2 linked regions of the Sus scrofa genome follow. The protein of the gene in region 1 interacts with the protein of each later gene in a pairwise test. Links are inferred from orthologs where the notes say so. Each region holds a gene or a part of one and is shown on either strand. Other genes may lie near its edges. The genes, in order: SH3GL1 and MTA1.

Evidence for each region.
Region 2: the proteins of SH3GL1 (region 1) and MTA1 interact in binary tests that used the Homo sapiens proteins (3 or more experiments, as listed by UniProt). The two-hybrid records come from large-scale screens. The link is inferred for Sus scrofa from reciprocal best matches to the Homo sapiens genes SH3GL1 and MTA1.

What each region holds. Positions count from the first base shown.
Region 1 is NC_010444.4:74,412,897-74,417,430, forward strand, and holds the start of SH3GL1 (endophilin-A2), read left to right. Parts: upstream 1-1,561; 5' UTR 1,562-1,749; coding exon 1,750-1,794; intron 1,795-1,801; exon of another isoform or gene 1,802-4,534. UniProt on the Homo sapiens protein: Implicated in endocytosis. May recruit other proteins to membranes with high curvature.
Region 2 is NW_018084979.1:3,459,489-3,463,849, reverse strand, and holds the start of MTA1 (metastasis-associated protein MTA1), read right to left. Parts: upstream 2,810-4,361; 5' UTR 2,730-2,809; coding exon 2,702-2,729; intron 1-2,701. UniProt on the Homo sapiens protein: Transcriptional coregulator which can act as both a transcriptional corepressor and coactivator. Acts as a component of the histone deacetylase NuRD complex which participates in the remodeling of chromatin.

The sequences.
Region 1 (4,534 bases):
AAAAATAGGAAATTCGAGGACATCGCTTTAGGCAAGTAAGTCGTGTCTTACTCAAGACCTCAGTTTCTCCCTCTGAACCATTAGGATGTTTTCCCTTCCTTCTCTAACATTCTGACATCTGAAATGATTGAGACTAGTGCATCACCCTTCAGGATGCCCATCAGAATCACATGGAAAAAATTTCAAACTATTAATAATAGCCTCATCAGGATCTTGGGGAAAGAGGTTGGAGCCTGCCTATTGCGAAGCAATCCTCTAATCTAGCCCAGGACCTACCATTGAGGCACTTGGAAACTTCTAGCAATCCTCTGCTTTACAAAAGCACTCAACTCTGTCAGAGATTTTGGAAATGAAATTGCAAGCACTTTAGCTCTGGTCATTTTATTATTCTTCTTTTTGGATTCATTTATTCACTTCAATTCACTATTAATTTCCACTTCATTCAATAAAATAACAGTTGGTTAAAAAAGTCAATATCAGTAAACATTTATCAATCTGAGAAGGCTTCCTGGAGGAGGTGCCATTGCAAAGAGTCCTCTTAGGCACAAGGAAAAGGGAAAAGATTGGGGAAGAATATGCAAGAGAGGAACAATGTTAGCAAAACACATGGATTATAGATGAAGACAGCTGAAATCAGAAAAGGTGATGGGGGAGTTCCCATCATGGCACAGCAGAAATGAATCCGACTAGGAACCGTGAGGTTGCAGGTTCAATCCCTGGCCTGGCTTGGTGGGTTAAGGATCCGGCTTTGCCATGGGCTGTGGCATAGGTCCACAGCTACAGCTCCGATTAGACCCCTAGCCTGGGAACCTCCATATGCCACAGGCGTGGCCCTAAAAAACAAAACAAAACAAAAACAAAAACCCAGAAAAGATGATGGGGGCCAAATTATGCAAGCTTTGTAGGCCATCCTAGGAAATTGGTAGTGTATTCTAAGGCCAGTAGGTGGACTTTAAACAGAGGGCTGATGTGATCTGAATTGTGTCATAGAAGCATCTTTCTGGTTGCCTTGTAGGCAATGAATTGGAGGCAAGAACCTGAAGGTGGGCACATCAGAGAGGAGGCTGGTGGAATGGTCTGATCAGGGCAGAGAAGAGAGTTGGGGGTGGGATAGTGGAAAGGAGGTACAAGAGATACCCTGATGTCTGACTTGGGCAACTGAATAGATGAACACTGGGCAGGACGCGATGATGGTGGAAGGTACTAGACGCACAGAAGAACTGGCTATAGCTGAGATTAGTGAACAGGCATCCAAAGTTCTGTAAACTTAGCTTCTGGAGTTCTACTTGTCCCTTGACCTCCCTCTCTGCAGAAAGGTCTAACCGCCTTTCTTAAGAAGTCAGGCCCACCTCCGGGAGTCCAGGGGACGCTGCAGTCGCTAAGGCTCCTCCTGTAGGCTTGCCTGGGCCCACTCACTGACCGAGGAGGCCTCTGCGGTAGTAGGAGCGCGCTTGCGCCACCCGGCCGGCAGGGGGCGCGCGTGCGCATATGGGGCCGGGGCAGCGCGGGCGCGCGCGCGGAGGCCGGCACCGGAAGTGTGCGGTTGCCATGTAATATCCTGGCCGCGCGAGCGCGCAAAGGGCTGAGGCGGTGCCGGGGCGGGCGCGGAGCTGGCGAGGGGACGGCGGAGGCGGTGCCGTAGGGGCCCGCTGAGGCGCGCGGGGGGTTGGCGGCGCCCGGGAGCCTGTCGCTTGCGCGATCCCTCCGGTTCGCTGGGTCCGGGCTGGAGGCCCGACGTCAGGAGGCAGCATGTCGGTAGCCGGGCTGAAGAAGCAGTTCTACAAGGCGAGCCAGGTGAGCAGAGGCCGAGGCAGGGGGTGAACTTCGGGCCCCACGCTGTTCGGAGCTGGGCCAGACCAGGCCAGGCTTGGTCTTGGCTCGGGAGAAGACTGGGGGCACCGAAGGGGCGGCGTTGGCACGTGTCCCCCGGCAGGATGGGGACAGCCCAGAAGGAATGAGGTCTTGTGCGAGGTGGCCCAGGCCCTGCCCGCCATGTGGACTCCAGTCTCCATGAGAAGAGTGGGCAGACCTTTAAGAGGAGCAGAAGTGCTCCCAGAGGTTGGCTCCGGACGAGGACCCCTCTCCTCCTGTCCTCCCCTCTGAAAGGGCAGGGAGGGGGAAGGGATAGAAGGGGAAGCAGTCCCGAGGCTGTCGACACAGGACTCTTGCCAGAGAGCCCAAGGGCAGGGAAATTTTGTGTTTAGAGTCTTTAAAAAACAAAAAACCTTTTCAGTTGGCCCGTTGCAAAGTTGAAATGGTAGACTGAAAAGTTGGTCTCCCACTTCAGTCTCTCAGGCATCCAGCCCCTCTCCACTGAGACAGGGACTGTCACCAATAACAAAAGATAAGTGTATAAATGTACTCCTTTCCTTTAAAAATACACAAGCAGTGGTAACATAGTCTACATAGACCCATGTTCTTGGTGTTTTTTAATTAAATGTGTTTTGGGGATCACACAAGAAACAGAATTCTCCACTTCAGATCATCCTCTGTTGTGGTGGCAGTCCTGGGCAGTCTGGGGAGTTCAGTAGCATCCCTGGCCCCGACCCACTCGATACCAGGAGCATCCCCCAGTTGTGACAACCGCAGATGTCTCCAGATGCTACCGAAAGTCCTTAGGGGAACCTCCTCCCTTCCCCTCCCCCAGAACTACAGCACTAGAGCCTACCTCTAGAGCCTCTTAGATTTTTGATGAGTATGTGGTATTCCATTCCATGATGTCTGTCATAACTTAACTAGTTGTTAATCAATGGATGTTGTTTCCAGGGGTTTTCTGCTGCAACCAATACTGTAGTAAATAGCCAGGGTCTGTCTCTGCCCACAGGTGGGATTAGATTTGTTGGGTAGGTTACCAGAAGTGGAATGCTGAGTCCAAGAATGTAAGCATTTTATGTTGTAACAGACAGAATAGGTGTTTTGGAGAGTCCAGGCCCCGCTGCTCAGGAGTCTGGTGAAAGCTGAGTGGTTCCACTCCTCAGAAAATTGGGCAAATGCAAAATTTAGTTTATAATTTCAGATCCAAGAAGCCCCAGATTCCTTGATCCTATAAGAACCTTAGTTCTGGAGTTTGTGTGGATAGCCTCCAGGAAGGAATGAGCAATGGTTGTTGGAATTGTTTGGGCCGTACTGGCCAACTGGATTCTACCCACAGTTTGGAGAAGTCCAGTGGGAGGGAAGAGAAGTCCAGTAATACACAGCTGGGACCTTTTGCCCCTTGAGGGAAAAAGTAATGACCCTAGCATTGTCCAGGGCTAAAGATATTGGGGGTCTATCTCTAGACTCCTGGCTAAACCCTGGAGGAAGAGAGACTTAATATAGTGGGATTCTAGGATGTTCTGAGAGTACAGCCCTTTGCCATAGCAGGATGGAACTAAGTGACCTGGCCCTACGTTAGACTTTGCTCAGCAGGCCGAAGAGCCCCCACACACTTGATCAGAGCCCCTTGGCATGCTGATCACTGCCTCGGGGCTTGATGTAGTCCCTCCTACTGGAACTATAGGTCTTGGAAGAATTCCTGGGCTACTTTGTTCTTTCATATAGACAGGTCTGTGGAAGCCCTCCCCGCCCCCAGCCATTAGGGCTTATGCTGGTGGCCCATGCTGTCCCTACCAGACACACTGTGCTAGAGGAACTAGCTAGGTCTCTCAAGGGGAAAGAAGGATGGCCTGCATCAAGACCTGTGGGAAGCACTTTGAATCCTGGAAAGCTCAGTGCAATGTAAGCTGGTGGTTCAGATCAATTTGTTATCTTGACCTGAGGCTCAGTCCCAGAGAACTGCTGCGATGGCCACATTCTCCTCTGAGAGAGTCGTCTTGGTCTCCTGACCGATTTGGTGTTGAGTTGTGCTCTCAAGACTCACCCTCTTCTGCAATAGTTTCCATAGACCTCCAACATCTCCACTGTTTATCTGGACGTGTCCACCTTTTTGTGTGGTTTTTTTTTTTTTTGGCTGTGCCTATGGCATGCAGAAGTTCCTGGGCCGGAGATCAAATCTGCTCCACAGCAGCAACCGTGACAACACTCCGATCCTTAACGCACTGCACCACAGAACTCCTCTTTGTGTGTCTCTTTTCTCAGTCTTAGGGACACTGTTTCATCCTCTTTTATGTCCTTGGGGTCATCTGTTCCAGGGTAACATTCTTGTTACCTTGTAATGATATATATTGAGTTTTCACTGTGTAAACTGATGATATGCTTTAAACCAGTCAGTCTCTGATGGTCTCACTTATCTGGCCCAAAGGTAAATGCATTCCTCTTTTTACATGAAAAGAGTTTCAGGGCATTTGTCTTCCTGCAGAACAGTAGTTCTCAGCCAGACCAATCCCACCTTCCAGAGGACACTGGCAATATCTGGAGACATTTTTGGTTGCCACAGCTTGGTAGTTTCTAGTGAGTGGAGGCCAGGAGTCCTGCTCAACATCCTACAGTGCCCTGGGCAGCTTCACACAACTCAGAATCACCCTCCACAAAATCAGCGGTGCTGAGGTTGAGAAACCCTGTTTTAAGGTTTGAGAAAAGTGAGGATAGGGACTTC
Region 2 (4,361 bases), on another chromosome or scaffold:
CCGACCCAATCGGCCCAGGCGGTCAGCTGGCCCAAAGCTGCAGCCAGGCCTTCACCCCGCCCGACTCCTGGCAGGGCCTTGGGACAGCCTGCCAGGTGGGACACGCAGGACTCCCAAGTGACGCGGGACTCTGCGAGCAACTTCTCATGTAAGTGTGGCCCACACAGTATTCGGGACACACGTATGCTAAGAAACTGTTTATCTGAAATTCAAATTTAACAGGCGTCCTGTGCTTCTCCCTGCTGAAGCCGGCACCTTCGGCAAAGGCTCTGCTCTCCGGGTCTTTAGTGGAGGAGACCCCGGAGGCGGGCGGGGGCAGGCCCCCGGCCAGGGCAGGACGCCTCCATCTGGACCCTGAGACACCCAGACACGGACCCCCGCGCAGCAGCAGCACCTCGGGACAGCAGCCCAGCCGGCCCGCACCAGGCCGGCCGAGCCCACGGCCCAGTGGACAGGGGCAAACGAGGCTTCCCTGCAGGGACCGAAGGGGTCCAAGTGGAAGCAGCCCCACCCATGGGCTACACCACAGGACCCCTGTTTACACCAAGGGAGGGGGGTTGCCAAGAGGAGGGTGACAGAAGTCCAAGTCCAGGGGCACCCCGGCCCTTGGAACCAGTCGCGACAAGCAGGCACGGGGCGGGGGGCCTGGGAGGGAGAGGCAGAGGAGGCCACGGAGGGCCTCTGGGTGACACCCAAGCCTCCCTCTCCAGCCTCGGTGTCTGCGGCCGGCCGGGAGCTGGGCGCCCCTGCCCTGGGAACACTCCATTTACTGAACACGCTGAGCAAGACTTCAGGGCCACAGCCTGGGGTGGGAGGTGAGCCCACACCTGCAGAGAGGCTCTGCGTGGGGAAAGCCAAGGGGCACCGAGTGGGCGGGGGGACGGCCAGACCAGAGGAGGGCCTTGGGCTGGGCAGGAGGGGGTCTGCGCTGAGGAAAGGCGTTCCAGGAGGGCGAGGGGGTGGCACTGAAAGGGGGCAGCTGCGAGGCGGGCAGGAGCCCTGGGCTGCAGCAGCTGGGCTAGGGGCCAACGGACGGAGAAAGCGACTCCGTCCGTGGGGTTCCACGGGGGGCCACCCAGCCTGGCAGTGTATTGAGAGACCCCGGGGGCCTCCCTCCACAGATCGGCTCCCCCCCGGACTGGAGAAGTTGGGAAACCAACAGGCCCCTCTCTGAAGGCCCCCGCCCCCTAGCCTGCTCTCCCCCCGCCACCGCCGTGTCCACCAGGGGCCTGCTGCCGAATGGGGTAAGGGCCCCCATTTCCGTGACACCTCTGAGCCAGAGAGGAGGGAGGGCTGGACAGCGGGGCGGGTGCGCCCAAGGTCACAAGGTTGGCCTGGCACTCGGGGGTCAGCCGGCCAGCGAGAGAGGGTAGACTGAAGACACAGGTGACTTGGAAAGCCAGGCCAGAGCTGTCCTCAGCCCTGACCAAAGGGGGGCAAGTGGGCGGCTCAAAGTCTCCGAGAGGGTGGGCATCTCACCACCTGTGAAGGACCAGATGAGGCCAGCTCGGGACCCCGTGGGGACCCGTAGCACGAGCCTCCTAGAGCCCCCTCCCCACAAAGTGGGGCAAAGCCCAAAGCTGGAGGCTTCCTGGGGCTTGAGTGGGAGAAGCAACAGCCCCAGGAAGGAAGCCCCCACCCCGGATCTCAGCTAGCTCTGCACCCCCTAACCAGGGGGCCACCTGCCTCTTTCCCAAATGCAAAGCACCTCCCTGCTGGGCCGCAGAAACAGGAGACAGCAGAGAAAAGATCAGGGTGCCAGCAGCACGCTGGGGGGAGCACAGGCCGCTGAGGACCTGGAGAGGGAATCCTGCCGGGGAAGCCCCCAGGCCCACGCCGGCCCAGAGGGCAGCTCCCAGGTGACCGCAGGCTCGCGGCGGGAACGCGGCCGCCACATACAGCTCCCCACCCCCCGAGGGGACCACTGCCCCCCGCCCCCAGCAGCTGAACCAGCCCTCGGCGCCGCCGCGGGGGTGCTCTCCACACCACAAGGGCCCCAAACTCCCACTCCCAGGAGCCGCCAGCACCTCCCAATGCCACGTGCTCCTGCTCCCGAGTTGGGGGGATCCCGCCAGGCGCCCCAGCCCCAAAGGATGCTCTGCGACTCCCAGAGCTCCTCAGCCCCACGCTCAGCCCCCAACAGGTGGGCAGAGCCCCCGCCTGGCCGCTGCCGGCCCAGCCACTACCCCCCACCGGCTCCAGGAGGGGCCGGGCCAAGGGGCCAAGTCGGGTGGCGACGAGCACGGCCAGGGCAGAGGTGGTGGTGGAGGAGCCGGCTGCTCAGAAAAGATGGAGCGGGAAGGGGAAGGAGACAGGGGCGGGGGGGGGGGCGCAGCAGAGGAGTGGGCGCCGCGGGCAGGAGGGAGGGTGGCCCAGGCAGGCGGCCTGCAGTGGGGGAGGGGTGCAGAGGTGGAGGGAGGGGACCAGAAGTGGGCCGATGGGGGGGCGATGGGGAGGCGGGCGGAGGGGGAGGGGGGAAGCGGAACGGGGGGAGGGGCGGGACAAGATGGGGGACCCGGGCAGGGGGTGCCGAGGGGGCGCGCGCGGGGGGAAGGGGGCGGCGGACGGCGAGGCCCGGGGCGCCGACCGGGGCCTGAGGCGCGGCGGGGCGGCGCGATGGGGGGCCCGGCGGGGACGCGGGTGGCGGGGCCGGGGCCCGCGGCGCCTCGCGGCGGCGGCGGCGGGCGGGCGGCGGCCTTACCTCCGACCCTGTACATGTTGGCGGCCATGTCCGGCGGCGGCGGCGGAGGCCGCGGGCTGGGCCGGGCTGGGCGCTGGGCTCGGCGCGGGCGGCCTGGAAAATGGAGGCGCGCGGGCGCGGGGCGCGGGGGCGCGGGCGGGCGGGCGGTTTAAAGGGGCCGCGCTGCCGCCGCCGCCGCCGCCGCCGCCGCTGCCGCCGCCGCCGCCGCCGCCGCCGCCGCCGCCGCCGAGGCCGCCGAGGCCGCCGAGGCCGCGCAGGGACCGAGGGCCGCGGCGCGGGCGGGAGAGGAAGAGGAGGAGCGGCCGCGGGGAGGGAGGGGCCTCGGGCGCCACCGCCCACCGCGCGGGCCGTTACCCGCCCCGCGGCCGCGCGCTCCCCGCCGCCTCCCGCGCCCCCGCCCCGCCCCGCCCGCACCCCGGGCCCCGGGCCGCAGCGGCCCATCGGCCCTCCGCCCCGGGTCCGCCCTGGCCCCCCCCCGCCCCCCGCCCGGCCCTTTCCGCGCAGCCTCCCGCCCGAGGGCGCCCTCCGAGTCCGCGCGTTCGCAGGCGCTCGGCCGCCCGCCGCTCCGTGGGCGGCCCGGGCCCTCCGGCCCCGGCCCTCGGCGCCCCGCCCGCACGGCCCCCGGCACACAGTTGCGGGCCGCTTTCCCCCACCTCTCAGCTGGCACGGCCCCCCTGACGGTGCCCGAGGGAGGAGGGGTGGGCGTGCCCGGAGGAGGCCGCCCTCCGGAAGGCGCCCCCCGCCCCCGGGGGGGCCCCCCCCCGCAGGCACAGCCCAGACCAGGGGGTGCAGGGAGGCGCGGGGGCCGCGGGAGCGAGCGAGGCTCCCGCCTGTCCTCCCAGCCCCGCGTGTGAGCTGGGCGCCTGAGGTCCAGGACGGCCCGGACGCTGCCCGGGGAGGCGGGTGGGGAGGCTGCTGGGCGGAGGGGATGGAGCCCCGCACGGAGAGAAGCAAGGGGCCGGGTCCAGGATCAACCTGACTGCCAGGGGGCTGCAAAGGAGGAGCCAGCCCTGTGGGACCTGGAGGGGCTGGGGCTCCAGAGGCCCCAGGGCTGACCGCCTGCCAGGAAAGGCAGAGGAGCAGGGGCTAGGTGCTGCTGACATGTAGGCCGTCCCCCAAGTGTCGCGAGGTGCGATGGTCTCCCTCGCTCCCCGCAGGCCTGGTCCCTGCCTCCGGGGCCTGCATCTCCTCATCTGGACGGCGAAGCTGCAGCACTACCTAACAGGTGGACCAAAACTTAATCAGAACCCCCAATAAATACATGCCCAGGCAGCTGCTGGTCACAGAGAGTGCCCACAACGTCCTGCCTGTAAAGTGCCTGCTCCTGCCTCCCTTCTGGAAATAAGACAGCCCCTGGAGAGCAGAGGCAGCTGAAAGGTGGGGGCCGTTTTCCTCCCGGCGCGGGTGCTGGCAGGTGAGTGGCAGTCGGAAGCCATTGGAATTGCACGACTCCCCCAAGGAGGAGGAATCGCCCTCCCAAAGCACCGTGACTTCTAATAAACCCTTGGGAGAGGCCGCCAAGCCCGCGCCCGCTCCTCGGCTGGCTTTCGCCCTGTGTTCCTCTCCCAAGATGGACAGAAAGGAGACTGCACACAAGGCCCAGCCCCTAGACCAGCTCTGGGACAAGTCACTTGGCAAAAAGGACAGGGGTGAGGAGTTC